Elephas maximus indicus: one gene and its partners. The protein of the gene in region 1 purifies or fractionates together with the protein of each later gene. This does not show direct contact. Links are inferred from orthologs where the notes say so. Each region holds a gene or a part of one and is shown on either strand. Other genes may lie near its edges.

The links.
Region 2: the proteins of RMND5A (region 1) and RANBP9 purify together in Homo sapiens (affinity purification with mass spectrometry; 9 studies listed by BioGRID and IntAct, counting the BioPlex papers as one, with this or other methods). This does not show direct contact. The link is inferred for Elephas maximus indicus from reciprocal best matches to the Homo sapiens genes RMND5A and RANBP9.
Region 3: the proteins of RMND5A (region 1) and RANBP10 purify together in Homo sapiens (affinity purification with mass spectrometry; 4 studies listed by BioGRID and IntAct, counting the BioPlex papers as one, with this or other methods). This does not show direct contact. The link is inferred for Elephas maximus indicus from reciprocal best matches to the Homo sapiens genes RMND5A and RANBP10.

Annotation. Positions count from the first base shown.
Region 1 is NC_064835.1:47,823,585-47,831,556, reverse strand, and holds the start of RMND5A (E3 ubiquitin-protein transferase RMND5A), read left to right. Parts: upstream 1-4,881; 5' UTR 4,882-5,384; coding exon 5,385-5,526; intron 5,527-7,972.
Region 2 is NC_064819.1:58,133,801-58,140,760, forward strand, and holds the start of RANBP9 (ran-binding protein 9), read right to left. Parts: upstream 3,087-6,960; 5' UTR 2,992-3,086; coding exon 2,409-2,991; intron 1-2,408. UniProt on the Homo sapiens protein: May act as scaffolding protein, and as adapter protein to couple membrane receptors to intracellular signaling pathways. Acts as a mediator of cell spreading and actin cytoskeleton rearrangement.
Region 3 is NC_064839.1:34,248,898-34,256,736, forward strand, and holds the start of RANBP10 (ran-binding protein 10), read right to left. Parts: upstream 3,087-7,839; 5' UTR 2,981-3,086; coding exon 2,746-2,980; intron 1,963-2,745; coding exon 1,851-1,962; intron 1-1,850. Other genes in the region: TSNAXIP1 (translin-associated factor X-interacting protein 1), read left to right, coding at 3,556-3,635. UniProt on the Homo sapiens protein: May act as an adapter protein to couple membrane receptors to intracellular signaling pathways.

The DNA of each region.
Region 1 (7,972 bases):
ATTGTGTGTTGTTTTTCTTGTCATCTAAAGTAGTTCTTATCTACTATCTAGTTAGTGAATACTCCTCTCCCACCCTTCATCCCTCCCCCCTCTCGTAACCATCAAAGAATATTTTCTTCTCTGTTTAAACTATTTCTTGAGTTCTTATAATAGTGGTCTTATACAATATTTGTCCTTTTGCAACTGACTAATTTCACTCAGCATAATGCCTTCCAGATTCCTCCATGTTATGAAATGTTTCACAGATTCATCACTGTTCTTTATCAATGCATAGTATAGGGTCGCTATGAGTTGGAATCGACTCGGTGGCAGTGGGTTTTGGTAGTATTACATTGTATGAATATACCATAATTTATTTATCCATTCATCCGTTGATGGGCACCTTGGTTGCTTCAATCTTTTCACTATTGTAAACAGTGCTGCAATGAATATGGGTGTGCACATATGAGTTTGTGTAGAGGCTCTTATTTCTCTAGGATATATTCCAAGGAGTGGGATTGCTGGATCCTATGGTAGTTCTATTTCTAACTTTTTAAGGAAGCACCAAATCGATTTCCAAAGTGGTTGTACCATTTTACATTCCACCAGCGCTATATAAGTGTTCCAATCTCTCCACAGCCTCTCCAACATTTATTGTTTTGTGTTTTTTGGATTAATGCCAGCCGTGTTGGAGTGAGATGGAATCTCATTGTGGTTTTGATTTGCATTTCTCTAATGGCTGGCTAATGATCGTGAGCATTTCCTCATGTATCTGTTAGCTCATTTTAACCATTTTTAAGTGTATAATTCAGTGACATTACATTTACCATGTTGTGAAACCATCACCATTGTCCATTTCCAAAGTTTTTGATCACCCCACAGAGAAACTCATTAACCACTTAAGCAATAAATCCCCATTTCTCTCTCTCCTCCCCCCCCCCACCCCTTGTAACCACTCATAAACTTTTCTCTTTATGCCTTTTCTTACTCTAGATATTTCGTATAACTAGGATCATACAATATTTGTCCCTTTGTGGCTGGCTTATTTCAGTCAGCTTGTTTTCAAGGCTCAACCATGTCGTAGCATGTGTCAGAACTTCATTTCTCTTTATGGCTGGATAATATTCCAATGTATGTATATACCACATTTTGTTTATCCATTCATCTGTTGACGGACACTTGGGCTGTTTCCACCTTTTGGCTCTTGTGAATAATGCTGCCATGAACATTGGTGTGCAGGCATCTATTTGGGTCTCTGCTTTCACGTCTTTTGGGAATGTATGTAGGAGCAGAATTGCTGAGTCATATGTTAAACTTTTTGAGGAACCACCAAATTGTTTTCCACAGTGGCTATAAGAGGGCTCCAGAGGAATTGAATTTTTTTTTTTAAGTAATTTTTATTGTGCTTTAAGTGAAAGTTTAGAAATCCAGTCAGTCTCTCACACAAAAACCCATATACTTGCTACACACTCCCAATTACTCTCCCCCTAATGAGACAGCCCACTCTCTCCCTCCATTCTCTTTTCATGTCCATTTTGCCGGCTTCTAATCCCCTCCACCCTCTCATCTCCCCTCCAGGCAGGAGACTGAATTTTTAATTTGATTTAAGTTCCAAGTAACTATATGTGGCTGGTGGCTACCATATTGAACAGTGCAGGTCTAGGTTCTAGATAATATCAGTAATGTGTGACTTGTCCTGTTACATGAAGAAAGGGAAGCATCTGAATAGCTGAGAATGAAGAAAAACATTACAGGACAAGAAAATACATGAACGAGCTGTGCTCAATTCACATTGAAAGTGTGAATGTGTTTTGATGCATGCATGTAAAAGTGCTAGTGTTTGGATGGGAACGGTGATGTGTTGCTACACTAGGCAGATCATGCAGCCCAGCTGAGAGGATTTGAAGCTGTAGGTAATGGGGAGCTACTGAACAGAATAATCAGTAGCTCTTTCCACGTGCCAGACATTACATCGAGTGCCTTACATGCATTATCTCATTTAATTATTGTAACAACCCTTTGACAGGAAAAAAAAATTCATTTGGTGGTACTGTAGGGGTAAGAGACCAAAGGCAGGTAAAAGAGAAGCAATTTTAATAGCCTTGGAAACATGTAAACGGTACTAATGAAGACAAGACATGATGAATACAAGAGTGAGATAATCTGGATCTTTAGGGATATAGATGAAGACAAAGGGAACACCAATGATTCTAGGATGAACGAAGGCATTAGATGAAGCAGAGGGATCTTGAGAATGATCTAGATCGATGGCAATGGAACCAGTTTAGTGGAGTCAAGAAATCTGATGGAGAAAAGCTTTTCAAGAATCCTATCAGCAAGTTAGAGATGAGGATGGAGAAGTGGCAGAGGAACCCAGAAGAGACAGTAATGGTGACAAAAATTGAGCATCAGTGGCAGGAAAGTTGGTTTTGGAAGGAAAATTATGGATTCTGTTTTTGACATGTTGATTGGAGGTGACCATGAATCCTCTAGATAATGACTTGCTGGTTGAGGGCAGCATGACGCTAGAGGTTTTGAAGCATTATCAGGGCTGGTGAGGTTATCCACAGAAGTAACTGTCCAACTGGCAATTGTGACGTGTTCTCTGAGGACAGATGGTAAAGGGAGAAAGTTGAGGAAAGAACCTTAGGTGAATGTCCACTCAAGCAGAGGGTGCTAGAGCTAGATTTTTTCTTTTAACCTTTTCAGTGAAGCAGGAATCAGGGTCACCTGCCAAGAAAGAGGGGTGAAACGAAAGTGGGGCATGGGGGGGAGAAGAAAGATCTGTAATGCGACACTTGAGGCTGTCCTTGAGAATCACCAAGAAATGAATGAAAGAACTGGGGACTAGATCAACATGATTCCATGACTTTGCGTAGCCATCTACGATTTATTCTCAAGAACTGACAATAATATAGGGTCACTCTGAGTCGGAATAGACTTGACAGCAACGGGGTTTTTTTGGATTGTATAACTGTTATGAGCATTTACACATATTATCTCACTTAATCTCCCTAATAATCTAGTTAAGTAGTTATTATTTCCAAATTATAAAAAACTAAGGCTCAAAAAAGTTATCACCTTAATTAAAAAAATAGACGCACACATAAAAAAAATTTTTTTTTTTTTTATAGCTGTATACAAATAATTGCCAACCATGTTGTTCTAGGCACAGAAAAAGGAAGGCAGGCAAGTTGCTCATCATCATGGAGCTTTTATTGATGTAATGACAGAGAACTAAAAAAATACATGAATCAGGCAATTTCAGGTTTTGATAAGTGATGCGAAGAAAACAAAACTGGTTATATAACAGATACGACACCGTGTCATGGATTGAATTATGCCCCCCCCCAAAATATGTGTGTTAACTTGGTTAGGCCATGATTCCCAATAATGTGTAGTTGTCCTCCACTTTGTGATTGTAATTTCAAGTTAAGTTAAAGAGGATTAGGGTGGGATTGTAACACCCTTACCAGCTCACATCCCTGGGGTGTGGTCTACATCGCCTTTCATCTCTCAAGAGCTAAAAAGGGACGCCAGCAGAAAGGGGGCACCTCATACCATCTAGAAAGCAGAACACATTCTTTAGACCCCATGTCCCTGTGCCAAGAAGCTCCTAGTCTGCGGGAAGATTGATGAGAAGGCCGACAGAGAAAGCCTGCCTCTGGAGCTGACGCCCTGAGTTTGCACTTTTAGCCTACTTTACTGTGAAAAAATAAATTTCTGTTTGTTAAAGCCATCCACTTGTGGTATTTCTCTTATAGCAGCACTAGATGACTAAAACAGACGGCAGCTGGGGAGGGAGTGAGGGAAGGCAGAGGCCGTTAGCTTGGTCTGGGAGGCCCCTCCGAGGGACAATGAGTGGGGAACTTTAGGATAATAAAGGCAGGAGAGAGTTTTCCAGAAGGAAATGACCAAGCGCAGTGGCCCTAAGGCAGGAACCAGCCAGGCTGGTAGGACCGACACCAAGGTTAGTGCAGCTTAAGCGTGGAAAGCAAGGGGGTATGGAGACGCCGCGAAAAGCCTGAGCAAGGGTTTACGCAAGGGGAGTAACCCGGTCCTGTTCGACGAAATAAAGCCTCTCAGAAGCCGCGTCCTGGTCGTGCGGCTCTGCGATGCGTGTTCCTTCCATTCGCGAAGCTGCCCGGCTCACGGCACATGGAGAAGAGACGGGTCACGAGAGGCTGCAGGCCGAGGGGCCAAGGGCCAAAACCCGCGGGAGCGGGCAATGTGCCGCGTCGGCTGTATCAAGCGTCTACGCAGCACCGACGGTCGCGGCGTCCTCGTCAGGCCATTCCCGGCCGGCAAGCGGCTACCCTCGGTCGTCGCCAGCGCCCCCCTCGCCTTTCGTTTCCGTTACCGACCCCCTCCTCTGGCACCCGCCGCCCCCGAACGGCCTGTCTTGGCCTTTCCTCAGGGGCAGCTGGACTGCCTTCCACAACTTGGGAATGACGATGTTCCTTCCCTTAGGAATGACAGAAAGATGAAATAAATTGTGGTTAGTGTGAAGCCCTGTGGAAAATAACTCTTCTTGCTTTTGTCTTGTTTTCCCTCATGCTTTCCAGAAAAGATTTCTCTCTCGGTACGTTCTCCAAGTTACCCCCTCCAACAGCGAGACCATTGGTTTGGCCTCTCAATCCCGATTGGCTGAAGTTTCAGGCTCTGGCCAGGGACTGGAGGACGTTTGTTTCCTACGTATTCCCTGCCCCCATTGCTTTGCCTTCCTGTTTCTGGGGCCTGTGGCTACGGGTAGTTCCCACCCCCTTGTTTACGGAGCGCGTAGTTGTTGGCTGCGAGCGCTGGGGCTGTCTCCAAAGTTCCCTATTCGGCTCCTCGGACCAATTGGATCTTCGCTCCACCCTCGCCCTCTCCCTTCCACGCCTCCCGCGTGGTACGGCCCACACCTCTAGCGGCGGCGCGTGCGGACGCCCGTAGCGTCTTTCCGCCCGCGCTCGCCGGCCTGCTCCCCTGTGAGAGTGCTCTTGGTACGGCCCGCGCCGCTTCGTTTCCTCGCTGGGGTGGCTGCCCCCCCTCGGACGGCGGCGCTTGGTGCCGCCCGGGAGAACCAGGTCATCGGTCGGTTCCCGTGAAAACAAAAACAATCGGCGGCGCGGCCGCGGGCACCCGAACGCGGCGAGCGGGGTCCTGGGACGCGGGCTCGGGGAGGGGCGAGCGGGAGCGGCGGCGACGCGCGGGGGGCCGGAGCGCCATGGGCCAGGCGGACACAGGCTGCACGGGGCTCCCCCGGCGCCGCGGCTAGCGCTCCCGTCGCTTCGGCCGCCTCAGCCGCCCGCGCCGCACGCCTGGGGGACGAGGAGGAGGACGCGGCCTCGGCCGGGCCCGGGCCGAACGGCTGCGGGGCCCCGGGCACCGAGGAGCCGAGCGCCGCCACCGCTGCCTCCGGCATGGATCAGTGCGTGACGGTGGAGCGCGAGCTGGAGAAGGTGCTACACAAGTTCTCGGGCTACGGGCAGCTGTGCGAGCGCGGCCTGGAGGAGCTCATCGACTACACCGGCGGCCTCAAGCACGAGATCCTGCAGAGCCACGGTAGGCGGCCCGGTGGGCGCGCGGCTGGGCCAGCCCTCACCCACCCGGCCCGCCCCAGGCCGTGGGGGGCCCAAAGCCGTCCGGCGCCCGCCGCCCCTGAGGCGCGGAGAGCCCCAGGCCCCCGGGACCTTGCCTTCTCATCTCACCCGGCTTACCTCCAGCCTGCCGGGAGATCGCTGTTAATCGGGAATCCGCCCGGAAAGCCGACTGGGAGCCGCGGGCTCCAGCGGGTTAAACGTGCGTGGGGGGGCTCGTCCGTGGCATCTGCAAACTGCCGCCCCCCGGGATGGGCGCCCCTCGCTCCCGCCCGGCCCTGGGGCGCCCACATTGTCCCCGCGGCGCGGTCCAGAGGGTGGGAAGTGCGTCTAGGTGGTAAGAGGGTCAGCGCAGGAAGCCCGTTCCTCCACCCCACCCCAGACCCTTAGCCGGTGAACTTTGTTTCGTTGTCTTTTTTACTAGAAAGTCGAGTGTTATCCTTAGCTGGAGGTTAACTGAACAGTTGCTTCAGCAACTTTATAATTTGACTGCTGTGTGGAAGCAGCTCTTGTTGAACTCTGAAGCACCACTGACCTGGTTCCTAGGAAACCGGCTGAATCAAACTGTTAAGCTCTCCCAGGGTAGTCTGTGATGAGACTGATAAGGAGCAGGCAAAACCCAGAAAACTCTCCTGAATCAAATTGTGGCTTAAGTTCCTAGTTATTCGCCCTATCTAGTCAAGTTTTTACTTGTTTACCATTCAGAAAACAGATTTCCTATAGAAGTCGTTTTACCCGGGTTAGTTCGTTATTGTCCTAGGCCCTGGGGACAGATACTTTGCCAGTTAACTTGCGGAAGCTGTTTGGAAAAGCCCCCCCCCCGCGCCATTTTCTTTAAATAACGTGAAAGATCTGGTGTCTTTACTTTAAAAGACAGGTAGTCACCAATTTAGGATGTGTTTGAGTTAGGACCTAGAACCAACTGATCTCAGATGTTTCTGTGTTGTTTTGTATTTTGCATCTAATGGTTACTAATGTGAATTACATACAGTGCTGGAGCTTATAATTTGCTGTCATACCCACATGTTCACTGGCATGCGTTCAAAGGTAGGATTTAAAAAGAGTGATAATAAAAGGCAATAATGATGAAAACAAAAGATAAGCGACTTATATCCGAACCTACCTACGACAGAGTCGTGGGAATGGAACCGTCTTTAGCGGCACTACTCACCTGGAATCAGAGTGATGATTTTGGTTGTGAAGTAAAGGACTTTTCATTTAGTGGGTTTATTTAAGAGTTTGGGTTTGGGAGGCTACTCAACTTGTGGGCGAAACAAATTTATGTAAAGGAAGGTTTGGTTAGCTGGGGAGAGATGTGATACTGTGACAGTTGAGATGAGGGTGGTGCCATTAGCCAAGATTCCCTTTCCTCCTTCTATACCTTCCCTTCCCAGGACTGCCTTTTAGTTGAGAGCAAGTGCTACTCAGTGGTAAGGGAGTCTTATGATGACAACATCTCATTTTGGACACAGCAGTCAATTTTCAAGTCCAGGGAAGAAGCAAACCTGCAACATTAGTGGGAGGTGGAATGAGAAAGGAAGGGAGTTGAAATGTTACTGTGGAAGAACCAGCAGACCTGGTGGCTGCCTGTGAAGGGAAGTTTGATTGACTTATTGGATGATGATATAGTTGGTAGAGATGGGGAAACAAAGTTGAAGTGGTGTGAATCCTGGGAATGCTGTGGTGATTTCGGTTTTGGATATGTAAGATCTGAAGGGCATAATGAAGATAGAGAGAAATCTTAAAATTTTCTATTGGCTGGAGATGCATAGATGGAGTTTGAGAGAAAAGTAATGTCTAAAACTGTTTTATGATGTCATTTCTACAGAAGAGAGGAGGAGATCATTTAGACCGCAGGGAGAAAAGACCGTAGGGTCTACTCACAACCCTGAACTCCCCTTGGAGAGTGGAAGGCAAAAGAGGAGCCAGCAGAAACCGAAAGGGCAGGGGCTTAGAAAAGGAGTGGTTGGTCAATGGCTCTTTGGTTATCGGGAGTCAGTAACCATCTATGCTTAACAGTTTTCACTAGAGTTGTTAAAACAAGCCTGATGACTAGGTGTGACGGTTAAGATTGTGTGTCAACTTGGTTGGGCCATGATTCTCAGTGGTTTGGCAGTTACGTAATGATGTAGTTTGGCAGTTATATAATGATGTCGTTATTCTCCCTGATCTGATGTGATGTGATCATCCCATTAGCTGTAAGGGGAATTTCCTTGCAGGTGTGGCCTGCATCTAGTATATATATGAAAGTTCTGGCAAAGCCTACTTGCTTGCTCTGGATCCTGCCTCCGGCTCATCATTAACTGACCTCCAGTTCTTGGGACTCGAGCCAGCTGCCTGCAGTATTGCCTGCCAATCTTGGGATTCGTCAGCCATTGCCCAGCCTGTGAGCCATTGCCCAGCCTGTGAGC
Region 2 (6,960 bases), on another chromosome or scaffold:
GCTCATAGCGACCCTACAGGCAGAGTAGAACTGCCTCAGAGTTTCCAAGGAGCACCTGGTGGATTCCAACTGCCGACCTCTTGGTTAGCTTCGGTAGCACTTAACCACTATGCCACCAGGGTTTCCAAAATTTTTTTTAGGTTAAAAAAAATTCACTCTTCTATTATTTGACTTTGAAGTTTTATTACCTATGACACTTCCCCTTTGCTCCCTTCCTTTGCAACAGGGACAGAGTTGCCCAATACATTTGGCGTGCCCCACTCAGAAGGAAGACGCTCAGGAAAAACAAAACATACACACACACATTAAAATAGCAAGACAAGAGGAAGAGACAGTAGAAAGAGGGGAGGGTAAAAACAATGCCCGCGGGAGGGGAGAAACAAAGCAGGGAAAGAAGAGAGGGAAAGAAAAAGGGTGACAAACAGCAAAATCTGTGCTTCCGGAAAAAAATGGTTTACGTTTATAAAAGAGTGATGTGTACAAAAAGTGAATCTTAGCATTACACAACAGAAAGTAATAAAAAGACCAAGAGGAAAAATAATTGAGACAGCAATGTCATAAATATTCCAAACTCCAACCAATTTCACATAAGCATGCATTCTTCTCTGCTCTGAATCATCCATCTTGTATAAAAGGAGTCAGTAAAACTAATCAAGGCACGTTACAGTGTTAAATAAACTGTAATCACAAATCTTAGATACCATGAAAGTCAGAGGTGGAAATTTCCTAAGCCACCATCCAGCTCTACCCACTCACCACTCAGATGCCTACCCTGCGTTGTGACATGCCTAGACTGCAGGACGCAGGAGAGCTCAGGATTATCCTGTCAGTATGATACAGGGTTCTTCTATATCATAGTGCCTCTGGTTTTATCATTATATCTAAAATGATAAAGTTCTGACAAGTCCAACAAAAGCCTTCTGGTAGCTAGATCAGAAGTAAACACTTCCTAACAGCACTGTTGACGCAAATTAAAAAAAAAAAAAAAAGCAAGCCTTCACACAGGTATTAACGAAGCGTCCTAACTAAAGAAAAAAGTTGATATTTTCAAGTTTTCAGTCCTTTAGATTAAGAAACGTAACACTTAGAATTTTAAGTACTTCTCTGAATCTATGGCAAGAATAAAAAGGAGTATTCACCACAGCCTAGTTTTGTGTGTGATTCTTTGCAGTCAAATCATAAGACAGATTTCTATTGCCATTCTCCTTTCTGATTAAACAGCAACTTATTTAGCAGGGTTCTTCTCAAATTTCAGCCCAGTACACTTTAAGAATTTAACCACAACGCTGTTTTTACCCTCTATATTCGGGTCACTAGGATCTGATTAAGACCCTCCTTTTGCAGCCAATCAAAATGAGGCTGCTTCGAATGTGAAAGCTCCTGCTCCAGGTTTGGGGCCTGAAAAACTGGATTTATTTCCAGACAGGCTGATCCATCAGATCGATATTTTTCCCCCAGACAAGTAAACTCGACGCATGCTATTAATTTGGGCTACATTTCAAAAATTGCCACAGCAACTTATAAATGTATGTACAACTGCTCCGCTTAAGCTTTGTTTTAATGTAAAGGAGGTGGGGGTGGGGGGAAGTACAAATCTAAAGAGTTTTTTTTAATCACAGGTGTAAAATATGAGTCAATTCTCCTTAAAATACTAAAAGATGTTAAAAAAAAAAAAACCGTTCCGTTCGATAAGACCTACTGTAATAACGACACATAAACACAGAACATTTCCAGTCAGGAGCGGTACTAGGTTTCCCCTATCCTAAAAACACGCGCACTCCTGTCGTTTCACCCCTCAGATCCCCCCAGTTGCTTTTACTAAGGCATAAAAAAAAAAATAGTAACGGCAAACTTGGGCCCCTTGTCCTTTTGTCCCCTTAGACAATCTCCGGCCTAATTTTGGACAAAATCCTCGGCTGATTACTCCTCCCCCTACATATCCCTGCTCTCCCTTAATTAGAAATCATACCTCCGTCGAGCCTCTGTCTCCCTCAGCCTAAGAGAACGCCTGACCCATCACCCGGAGAACAATATAACCCAGCTCCGAGCCCATGGATTCCCCCATCCCAGCCCTAAAATTTATCTCGAAGGGAAATCAGAAAGAGAGTTATGTCCCTTCATTCTGGATTCCCTCAAGGTGTTCTACTCTAGGCCCTAGGATTAGCAGCTCCATTATACCAGGACCAGTACAGACTCACCCTCCTGTCCCAAGAGTCTCGCCCCTTACCCTTGAACCCTCCACCGTGACCCCGGCGCCCACCCTCGGGGCTGCAGACGAGCGGCGAGTCACCTTGGAGGGCACCCAGCCCAGCGAAGGAGGGAGTCGGGGGCGGGCCTAGAGTCGGAAGCGGTGGCAGGACACGTCGGGTCAGTGCCCCCACTCCCACCCCAGGACACACGCCCAGTACCTTTGTAGTGCACCCGCAGGTTGTTCTGAGAGAGGCCGATGTAGCTAAACTTGTCCTTCGGGCTCCAGGACCGAGGCAGCGGCGTCTCCTGCTCGTTCACAGCCGGGTAGAGGCGCTTCAGCCGCCGCTGCAGCTCTTTCTCCTGCTCGTTGAGGGCCGAGTCCCCGTGCGGGAAGGGGGCCGCGGCGCTGCTGCCGGCAACCAGGGCTGGGGCCGGGCCACCTCCGGCCGGGCCAGAGCTCACGGCGAGGCCTGGGGGAGCCGGGGGCGCGCTGGCAGGGGCTGCCGCCGAGGCGGGGGGCGGGGGCGGCGGCGGCGGCGGCGGCGGCGGGGCCGCGGTGGCCGGGGGCGGCGGCAGCGGCGGCGGGTGGAGGAGCAGGGCGGCCGCCGCGGCCCCCAAGCCGCCGCCGCCGCCCGCGCTTCCGCCGGCCGAGCTGGCAGGAGAAGAGCCGGCGCTGACGGCCGCGGGCGCCGGCACGACGACTCCGGAGACGGGGGCCACGGCTGCCGGGGGTGGCGGCGGCAGCTGCTGCTGTTGTTGCTGATGCTGCGGCGGCGGCGGCGGCGGCGGCTGCCCGGACATCCCGGCCGCGACTCAACCTGCGGCCACCTCCACTTCTCTCCTTCCTCCTCTGCTTCCCGGGGGCGCTGTCGCTGCGGCCGCCGGCACCAGGCGCCCAGTCCGCCCGCCCCGGAAGCAGGCGGTCGGGCCGCGCGCCGAGGGAGAGCGCGACGGTTGGGGGCTCGGGGACGGGGGCCAGGAAGAGAGCCCGGAGAGGTCCCGAGAGAACGCTGGCCGCAGCTGGGGCGCGCGGCCCCGGGACGAGACGGCGAGGGCGGCGCGGGAGCGCGGGAGGAGAAAATGCGGTGACGGCAGCCGCGGCCCCTGCTCTCGCGGCTGTTTCCCGGCGGGCGGGCGGGCCAGGCCGGCGCCAGACGCTACGCGCGGGCGGTGCTAGGCGAGGGGGCGGGGACGGAGGCCGAGAGCCGCGCGAGGGGCGGAGGGGGCGGGCCCGCGGGGGTCCCTGGCGCGCGGGCTGCGCGGTCGGGCAGGTGTGTGTGTGAGGCGCGCCGAAGCCCCGGAGCGCCTGTTCCCGGGCGCCGCCGGCAGCTCGCGGAGGGGCTGCCGGGCTCCCCGACGCCGCGGGTCCCCTTCGAGGGCCCCTCCCCCGCGGGGCCGCCGACACCCCTGCCGGGTCCTCCCGGCGGCGAGTCTCCTCCTACTTTACTTCTTTTTGTTGTCGTCGTCCCACCTCTCCACCGGGGGTTACCGCCGGAGCGGCGGCTGCAGCTTCCCTCCTAGGCGAGAGTAATCGAGCCCCGCTAGGGTCGCCGTGAGCCCGGGCCCTGGGCGCCGCGGGGCTCTCGGAACCGTCCCCCAGGACCTGCGCCCCCGACCTCCAGATGGGTCCCGAGCAGAGCATCTAAGGGTGCCCAAAGAGGGCTCTGCTAGAGCCCTTGCCTCGGTAATACGCTCCTCTTTGCCTTCTCCCTCTTCGCAGAATCTAATACCCTAACTTAACGTGTGGGGACTGGAAACCATTTCTGAAGGCAAATTCTCCCACTAGAAAGTGTGAGTATGTCATTAATTAATTTTAGGATGACTTAAAGTGAACTTTATTGGTAGAAGATGCCCCGTTAGGCATCCTATTGAAGACTGGCATACCTTCAAAGAGCGGGAACATGAATACAAGATTACAGTGTGTTCTTAGGAAGGGCTTCTAGAGAAGTGAAAGCATTTTGTAGACTCATTAATTTTCAAGGTCTCTTTTTGTTAGGTAGCAAAAAAGTATGCCCATTTTTAAGACAAGGAAATCTTCACTGAGGTCAGCAGAGTCAAAAATAGGACTTCTACTTTGCCACTTCCAAGAGGGTGCTGGGTCGACTAATTTGGCACAACTCGTTAAGTGTTGCTCTGTGACCCATCATACCAAAAACCCAAACCAAAACCACTGCTGTCGAGTCGGTTCCGACTCAGCGACCCTATAGGACAGAGTAGAACTGCACCATGGAGTTTCCAAGGAGCACCTGGTGGATTTGAACTAGCAACCCTTTGGTTAGCAGCCATAGCACTTAATCACTACACCACCAGGGTTTCCAATGACCCATCATAGCAATACTGTTTTTGTTTTTTTTTTTTTCACCAATTTTCTTTTGTTTAGGGTTGTCCTTTCCCTATCCGGAAACCCAGGTGACCAAAAGCCGGCAGTTCAGACCAATGGGTTCCGTTTGGTTTTTCCCTAGCTGGTAGAATCTGGGTTTGCACATGTAAATTGTGTGATATAAATTCCAATATTTCATTTGCTTCCAAAGATACTGTAATGGTAAACATTTGGTCAAATAAGCAAGAAACATTTTGGTGAATAGAGAATTATTTATTTTGTCTTCCAGAGTGTAGGTCAATGGTGACTTAATTGAAGGCCCTCAATCTCTGGCCAGAACTAATAGCAAAGTCATCAGTCTTAATTTCTCCCTCAATTATCCAGACAACTAGATGCCTTGTTGTTCTTTAATTTAAAAAAAAAAAAAAAAGATAATTCCAACCTCTTGTTGACTTTTGTCAAGCCACTACACTTTAAATTACTTGATTTCATTGTATTTGAATTGTTTTAAAACTTTCATTTATTTTATAGTAACAATGAGTTAAATGTAAGCCAAGCTCTATTTAAATGTAAAATGGCCATGGTAAAATAAATGGGCTCTAATTTTAATCCTCATTAGGAAACGCTGGTGGCGTAGTGGTGAAGAGCCATAGCTGCTGACCAAAACGTCAGCAGTTTGAATCCACCAGGCGCTCCGTGGAAACCCTTTGGGGCAGTTCTGCTCTGTCCCATAGGGTCACTATGAGTCGGAATTGACTCAACAGCAACGAGTTTTTTAAGTTTAATCCTCATCAAAGGAGCCTTGGTGGCACAATGGTTAAAGCCCTCAGCTGCACACCTAAAGGTCAGCAGCTGGAACCCACCAGCTGCTCTGTGGAAGAAATGAAATCAACTTGATGGCAGTGGGTTTCTTGAAATTATCATCAAGGTTCTATTTATGAAGAGGTACTTTTTTTCTGCCAGCACACTTGGAAACCATTTACAACTTCACATATCCTTGGAAACTTTTATAGGAAGGACTGTTTGCTCTCCAAACAAGCAACCTCAAGAAACTAGTAATTTCACTTGTGGGGGAGGATCTTGTGAAACGGGTATTCTCTCAAACCAGAGGTGACAGAGAACACTGATAATACCATTTTGGAAAGCCACATATTTGGTGATATTAAAAGGTCAGAAGGATGTTCATGCCTTTTGATTTTTCTGTTCGAAGAATTAAAAGTCAAAATCTAGGCCCAAAATATGGCACAAGAAAAACAGCGTGGCAGAGGCGTCTGACCTCCTCTGACTTCACGAGGGGGAGAGAGTCTTCATCAGCATCGACAGCCCAAGGCTGGTTCCTCTGAGGCCAGAGGTCAGACATGCCTCCTCTCTCTAACCTTTTTAGCAGTTCTGACACCAGCTATGCCTCCCCAGCACTCTCTCCTGTGCTGAGTTTGATAATTCCTTGCAATGGTCACACAGAACTCACAGACAATACTCACAGTTAGGGGGTTTATTAGGGAAGTAAAACCAAAACCAAACCCATGGCCGTCAAGTTGATTCCGACTCATAGCAACCCTGTAGGTCAGGATATAACTGCCCCATAGAGTTTCCAAGGAGCGCCTGGCGGACTTGAACTGCCAACCTTTTGGTTAGCAGATGTAGCACTTAACCACTACGCCACCAGGGTTTACATTAGGGAAGTAGCAGGCTGTAATTCAGAATCAAAAACGATTCAGGATACAGTTTGTGGATTTTTTCAGCCGTGCCTGCAGGCAGGCCTCTTTGTCCAACCCTCGGCCCCATTGGGCCCTCAGCCCAGCCTCTGCCCTGCTCTGGCAAGTGTTACAGATCTCTTTAGCTCTGCCAATCAGTGCCCGGAGGCACCCCACTTAGCCAGGAAGCCTCTTGCCTGAGGGCACTCAGCTCTCTTGCTCTGTGTCAGCATACCCACTGACGCTGCCTCACTCCACGGGCCAGGAAGCCCACAGTGCCATCTTGCGCCAGTCTCCTGGTTCTGCTGCTGCTGGTCCTCTGCCACACTTGTTGCCGCTTCTCACCATCTTGCGCTATCTCTGATCTTATGGCTCTCTGTCTCCTGGGTCTAGGAGGTTCTCAGCACAGGGATCCTGGGTCCAAAGGGCACACTTCACTCCTGGCTCTTCTTGATGGTAGCGGGTCCCCCCTCTCTGCTTGCTTCTTTCTCCTTTTTATCTCTTGTAAGATAAAGATGTGACTCAAGTAAGGGTGTGACTTGAATATGGGTGGTCACTAGGGTAAAGGTGGTGACTTGAGTCACACCCTGTAGTAAGGTGGTAACTCAAAATACATCCCACCCTAATCCTGCCTTATTAGCATAACAGACAACTCACTCCCAAATGGGACCACAACCACAGGTATAACCAAAAAAACCAAAACCATTGATTCGATTCCTACGAGGCTAGGATTTATAACACATCACAAAATGGAGG
Region 3 (7,839 bases), on another chromosome or scaffold:
CCTACAAATTTAAGTAATGGCTCTCAGTGTCTTTGGCAATATGGAACTCTAGCACCAAACAACATTTCAATCTACACAGTAACCATTTTTTGGAATGTTTGTTTTAAGAGACCATTCTCATTCATACTAGCTCAAACACATTAAATATACAGTATGTGTGTTTGTATCAGATGGTAGGAAAGGAAAATAGGAGCTTTAAAGCCCTTCAATAACATAAAACTTTATCTGGTGGCACAATGGTTAAGTGATCTGTTAAGCCGCTAACCAAAAAGCTGGCAGTTCGAACCCAGCCACTGGCTCTACAAGAAAGACCTGGCCATCTGCTCCCATAAAGATTATAACCTAGAAAACCCTATAGGGTGGCTGTACTCTGTCACATGGGATTCCTATGAGTTGAAATTAACTGGACGGCACCTAACAACAACATCTATAAAAGTTCTAGATATAGATAAAAGTGAAATATGCAATATATTCCCATTATCAGAATTTCAGAATCACAGCATTCTGGGGTTAAAAGGCAGATTAGATGCTGGCCTAGCTCCCCACAGTGCAAACAAGGAGACTGAAGCCCCAAGACCTATCCAAAGCCACACAGACCTCCCAGGCAGGGAAATGACAACGTCACTGTGAGGAAGCAGACAAGGTTCTGACTCTGGCAGTCCTGCGTCCGGCACAGATTTTAGCTGGCCATTTTGCATGTGCCACAAGGGGGACTGTCCCTAGGAGAGAGGAAGTATTCTGAATGCTAGAGAATACACACTCAGGGTCGGCACGAAGGTCACTGGTAGGGTTGGCAAACTTCTCGCAGTAGACCTAAGACTTGATGAGGAAAGCCTTTCCAAAGCAGCTGCAATCATGTTATTTCATAACTTAAAACACCTGCTTTGTCACAATCACTGGAAAAAGGAGAGACTGGGAGAAAAAAAGGAAAAATTGAAAAATCTCCCTCTAGTATTCCCTCTGATTTCCTATACCTGTCCAAACCTGTTGCTATTGAGTTGATTCCAACTCATAGCAACCGTAAACGACAGAGTAGAACTGCCCCATAGGGTTTCCAAGGCTGTGAGTCTTTACAGAAGTAGAATGCCACATCTTTCTCATGTGGAGTGACTAGTGGGTTCGAAACGCCAAGCATTCAGTTGGAAGATGAGCACTCAACCACTGTACCACCAGGGCTCCTCTGTGTCTGTTTAGGTCACCCTAAAATAGGGAGTCTCCCTAACACTGACTTTAATGAGGATCTTCCCAAAGCTGGTCCAACTGGTGTTCAAGTTTCTGGAATGAAAAACAAGTTTATAGGCAGCAAGGTCACCTGATTTTGACCATGTGCATGCTGTTTACCCTGTGATGACAGGCCAGAGACTGCCACAGCTTTGATAAATGCTGCAAAGCCTCTACTATCTCTCTGAAGTCTACTAGGGCCCCCACACGACTAAATGCCATAAAAAGGAAACTTGAACGTGGCAAGGGTGTAAAAGGAGGGAAGTCACAGACACCATACTCTAGCTGGGAAACCCCATTCTGGTCACTGAATTGTTAATGTAAACTTGTTAACTGTTTCCCTGACCTGTGAGGTATCTCATTGCATCATCACCAAAAAGAAGTCCCTCCTCCACCCCCAATCCACCTACTTACTATCAAGGCCTACTACATAGACCAGGCCATGGCCACAGTCAAGAAACAGAGGCAGTCCACCACTGAACCATCTGCAGCCCAGACCCATGACTACACAGATAGTTGGCTACACAAATGTGGCTTAGCAGCTCACATTAGTTACAAGTGTTAGCCAGGGGATCTCTATCTCTGACAAGTCAATGTTGGGGAAAAGACAGTGGCAATGAGGGGCTTACCCATCTCTTCCTTTGCTGACAATCTTCACCTCAAAGTAATAAATGCCACAGGCAGCAGGTATGGGGTGGGTGGCCCGCACTGAGGCCGCATCTTTGTGATTTTTGCCATGACCTAAGCAGAGAGGGCAAGGAAAAAATTTCAGCAGAAGGAAATGCAAATTGAAGCCTCATTCTTCACTGATCCACGGCAACTTCAGAAAAGCTCAAAGGCTCACACTTCCATGGCCAGAGGAATCCCTCACAAGGTTCAAGGGATAATTAGACAACAGCTGAGCAACCATGTAAACCTCCCACCCTTGGTTCACCTCCTCTTGAAAATAGCAGCCCTGCCTGAGAAACTGTCTCCCATACAAACAAAAATGAGCGTACAAGCAGTGTAGGTGCATGTGAAAGATTTCCCAGTGCTACTGGCAGTCTCTTCAGGATACAGGCAGCCCACCTAGGAGACCAGCAGGAAGAGGGGTCCACCCTGGAAAATCTTCACTTAAAGGTAAGAGAGGCCCCGTCTGAGATGTCTGGCAGGAGAGCAAGCCCATGGGCATCTGGCTACTGGTGGAAATGTGACCATAATTTTCTTCAGGCACTCCTGAAACTAAGAAGTGTTGAAAGACCCAGCTAGAGCTGATCAAGCAGGGAAGCCCTCGGGTGGAAGGTCCAGCCCAGCACTGGGTTTGGACACCTGTTGCAGCTCTCTGGACCTCGAGTTTCTTGAGGACAGAGAAAATCAGGCAGTCACCCTCGGCCTGGTCAGCCCGACCACCCTGGGCCCCCCGCAACTAAGACCCAACCCAGAGCACCCAGGCCGGGGAAGGGATGTGATGGGACTGGAGCCGGACAGCGCAACCGTCCAAAAGACTTTCCAGGCTTTTTCTCCCGTGGCCAGAGTGGCCGATACCTTTGTAGTGGACGCGGAGGTTGCCCTGGGAGAGGCCGATGTAGTTGTACTTGTCCTTGGGACTCCAGGAGCGCGGCAGCGGCGTCTCGTGTTGGTTGACCGCGGGGTACAGGCGCTGCAGGCGCCGGCTCAGCTCCTGCTCCCCCGGGGACGGCAGACCGCCCCCCGCACCCCCGCCGGAGGTGTCTCCAGCCTGCGGATTCCCAGCTCCCTGGTCCGCCGTCGCCGCCGCCATCTTGGAGGGAGCTGCTATTGTGTCACTGGGGCGGGGAGGAGCGGGACCAGATCCGCCCCGCCCAGCCAATAGCCAACGAGTCTGCCGGGGCCGCAGGGAAACTGAGTCCGAGTCCAGCACCTCTCTTTGGACATGGCCACGCCTTGCCACATTTTGGACTTCATATCCCAAAATGCAGATCTTGTCAGGAACGGCCCAAGTCGAGCTGCTATGGAACTTTGGGAGATGTAGTGTAAACCTGCTCAGCCGTAAGTCTGTCCAACCGAGTCTTCGGAACACCGAAAACTACAATTCCCGCCACCAAAGGGGCTCCAGCCTCTCGGTTCACCTCCCTCCACCATGGTCGCCGGTGATCCCACTGCCTCAGTTGTTCTGGTACCTAGGGTCAAATCCGCTGCAGTGACTAACTCTTGAGGGGACCAGCTCCCGATCCCGAGTTCACTTTTGCTATTTGGCCTTCCTCCCAGGCCGCGGACGCCGGGCTCGAGGCCGTGGTGAGCGCAATCCTGACTCCGCCCCCAAGCCGGGCCGCTGCGGCAGTCGCCATGGCGACGGGTTGTACACTACGGTAGGCCATGGAGGCTGGCTGCTCGACCGCCCAAGGCGTCATGGCCTCCTCGCAGTCGCAGTGCTGCAGCTTTACGCCCCTCCCAAGGTAGGCGCCTTCTGGGCCGACAGTGGAGAAGAGAACTTGAGTACTTCTGGAGAGGGAGGCGGCATCTAGTCCCGACCTTTGCACCTCCTGCTCGCCTCTGTCCAGTGGCCTGGGGCTCCAGCCCCACAGGAGCAGTGGTGGAGAAACAGAATCCGGGCTGACTTGTCAGCCCAATGAGGACGTTACATGAATGAAGAACACCAAGGGCAGGGGAAGTTTATCATTAGTGTAACAGTCATTTTGTATTAAGTATAGATTATGTGCTAAGTGTATCGAACATATATTATGTGCTAAGTACGACCTTGAGTATATCACGCCTAAATTTTAGAGACCATCTCATGAATAGATTTGACACATTGAATACTAATGACCGAACACCAACGAGTTGTGAAATAACATCAAGGATATTATACATGAAGAAAGCAAGAGGTCATTAAAAAGACATGAGAGAAAGAAAAGACCTAAATCGATGTCAGAAGAGACTCTGAAACTTGCTCTTGAATGTCGAGCAGCTAAAGCAAAAAAAAAAATGATGATGTACAAGAGCTGAACAGAAGATTTCAAGGGGCGGCCCAAGAAGACAGAGTAACGTGTTATGATGACACAGGCAAAGACCTGGAGATAGGAAACCAAAAGGGAAGAACACGCTCAGCATTTCTCAAGCTGAAAGAACTGAATAAAAAAATTCGAGCCTCACCCAGGACAAGAACCATTTCCAAAGCCAACTCTTCAGACATGGATTGGACTAGACAATGGGTTGAAGAGGGATGCTAGTGAGGAGTGAGCTTTTTGGACCAGGTGGACACTTGAGACTATGTTGTCACCTCCTGCCTGGAGGGAAGATGAGAGGGTGGAGGGGGTTAGAAGCTGGCGAAATGGACACGAAAAGAGAGTGGAGCAAAAAAGCGGGCTGTCTCAATAAAAAAAAAAAAATTTTTTTTTTGGGGGGGAGCATAATTGGGAGTGTGTAGCAAGGTGTATACGGGTTTTTGTGTGAGGGAGTGACTTGTAAACTTTCACTTAAAGCACAATAAAAATTATTTAAAAAATTCAAGCCTCATTATGCTGAAATTAGTCAGTTGCAAAAGCACAAATATTGTATAAGACCACTATTATAAGAACTTGAGAAATAGTTTAAACTGAGAAGAAAACATTTTTTGTGGTTACAAGAAGGGGGAGGGAGGCCGGGTGGGAGAGGGGTACTCACTAATTAGATAGTAGTTAACTACTCTAGGTGAAGGGAAAGACAACACACAATACAGGGGAGGTCAGCACAACTGGACTAAACCAAAAGCAAAGAAGTTTCCCAAATAAACTGAATGCTTCGAAGGCCAGTGTAGCAGGGGCAGGGGTTTGGGGACCATGGTTTCAGGGGACATCTAAGTCAATTGGCATAATAAAATCTACTCAGAAAACATTCTGCATCCCACTTTGAAGAGTGGCGTCTGGGGTCTTAAATGCTAGCAAGCAGCCATCTAAGATGCATCAATTGGTCTCAACCCACCTGGATCAAAGGAGAATGAAGAACACCAAGGACATAAGGTGATTACGACCCCAAGAGACAGAAAGGGCCACATGAACCAGAGACTACATTATCCTGAGACCAGGAGAACTAGATGGTGCCCGGCTGCAACCGATGACTGCCCTGACAGGGAACACAACAGAGAACCCCTGAGGGAGCAGGAGAGCAGTGGGATGCAGACCCCCAAATTCTCCTAAGACCAGACTTAATAGTCTGACTGAGACTAGAAGGACCCCAGTGGTCATGGCCCCCAGACCCTCTGTTGGCCCAGGACAGGAACCATTCCCAAAGCCAACTCTTCAGACATGGATTGGACTGGACAATGGGTTAGAGAGGGATGCTGGTGAGGAGTGAGCTTCTTGGATCAGGTGGACACTTGAGACTATGTTGGCGTCTCCTGCCTGGAGGGAAGATGAGAGGGTACAGGGGGTTAGAAGCTGGCGAAATGGACTTGAAAAGAGAGAGTAGAGGGAGAGAGCAGGCTGTCTCATTAGGGGGAGAGTAATTGGGAGTATGTAGCAAGGTGTATATAAGTTTTTGTGTGAGAGACTGACTTGACTTGTAAACTTTCACTTAAACCACAATAAAAATTATAAAAATAAAAAAAAATTCAAGCCTCAAGTTGCAATACTGAAGGATTCTACAGGGAAAATATTAAATTGATGCAGGAAGCATCAAAAGAAGATGGAAGGAATACACAGAATCACTATACCAAAAAGAATTGGTTGATGTTCAACCATTTCAGGAGGCAACATATGATCAGGAACTGATGATACTGAAGAAAAGTCCAAGCTGCACTGAAGGTGCTGGCAAAAACAAGGCTCCAGGAATTGACAATACCAATTGAGATGTTTCAACAAACAGATGCAGCGCTGGAAGTGCTCACTCATCTATCCAAGAAATTTGGAAGACGGCTACCTGGCCAACCGACTGGAAGAGATCCATATTTATGTTTATTCCCAGAAAAGGTGATCCAACCAAATGCAGAAATATCGAACAATATCATTAATACCATGTGCAAGCAAAATTTTGCTGAAGATCATTCAAAAGCAGCCGCAGCAGTATATCAACAGGAAACTGCTGGAAATTCAAGCCAGATTCAGAAGAGGACGTGGAACCAGAGATATCATTGCTGATGTCAGATGGATCCTGGCTGAAAGCAGAGAATAGTAGAAAGATGTTTACCTGTGTTTTATTGAGTATGCAAAGGCATTTGACTGTGTGGATTATAACAAATTATGGATAACATTGTGGAGAACGGGAATTCTGGAACACTTTATTGTGCTCATGAGGAATCTCTACATGGATCAAGAAGAAATCGCTCCAACAGAACAAGAAGATACTGCGTGGTTTAAAGTCAGGAAGGATGTGAGTCAGGGTTGTATCCTTTCACCATACCTATTCAGTCTGTATGTGGAGCAAATAATCTGAGAAGCCAGACTATATGAAGAAGAACGGGGTATCAGGATTGGAGGAAGACTCATTAATAACTTCCATTATGCAGATGACACAACCTTGCTTGCTGAAAGTGAAGAGGACTTGAAGCACTTACTGATGAAGATCAAAGATTACACCTCAACATAAACAAAGCAAAAAATCCTCACAACTGGACTAATAAGCAACATCATGATAAGCAGAGAAAAGATTGAGGTTGTCAAGGATTAATTTTACTTGGATCCACAATCAACACCCATGGAAGCAGCAGTCAAGAAATCAAAAGATGCATCACACTGGGCAAACCTGCTGCAAAAGACCTCTAAAGTGTTGAAAAGCAAAGATGTCACCTTGAGGACTAAGGTGTACCTGACCCAAGGCATGGTGTTTTTAATCACCTCATGTGCATGTAAAAGCTGGACAATGAATAAGTAAGACTGAATGAGAATTGATGACTTTGAATTGCAGTGTTGGCAAAGAATTTTGAATATACCATTTGGCACCACTGAATGCCAAAAGAATGAACAAATCTGTCTCGAAAGAAGTACAACCAGAATGCTCCTTAGAAGTAAGGATGGCGAGATTATGTCTCACATACTTTGGACATGTTATCAGGAGGAATGAGTCCCTGAAGAACGTCATGCTTGGTAAAGTAGAGGGTCAATGAAAAAGAGGAAGACCCTCAAGGAGATGGATTTACACAGTGGCTGCAACAATGGGCTCAAGCATAGCAACATTTGTGAGGATGGCACAGGACCAGGCAGTGTTTCGTTCTGTAGTGCATAGGGTCACTATGAGTCGGAACCGACCTGACAGCACCTAACAAAAACAACTAGGACTTTATATACCACATTTAACTCTCACAATAACCCTATGAGGTAGTAACATCACCATTTTTACAAATGGAGAAATAGAAGCCTGGAGAGATGAGTGATGGAAATAGGATTTGAACTTAGCTCTGTCAAACTCTAGAACCTGAACTCTTAGCCATGGGAATAAACTGCCTCTTCACTCACTGGAAGACTCATGTCCAATGGGGGCTGACTCTAAGCAGCCCAGGTGTCTCCCATGGCCACATGGGTAGCTCCTGCCTAAACCCGGGTGCAGCCTCAAAAAGAATACAACAACAAGGTCCATTGGCCAGGAAGACCACAGAGAATATGAATTAGAACAAAAATGTTGGATAAGTACATTTCTAGCTTTGGAATTTCAGAGAAGGCCCTTAACATTCCGGGCCTCAGCTTCTAT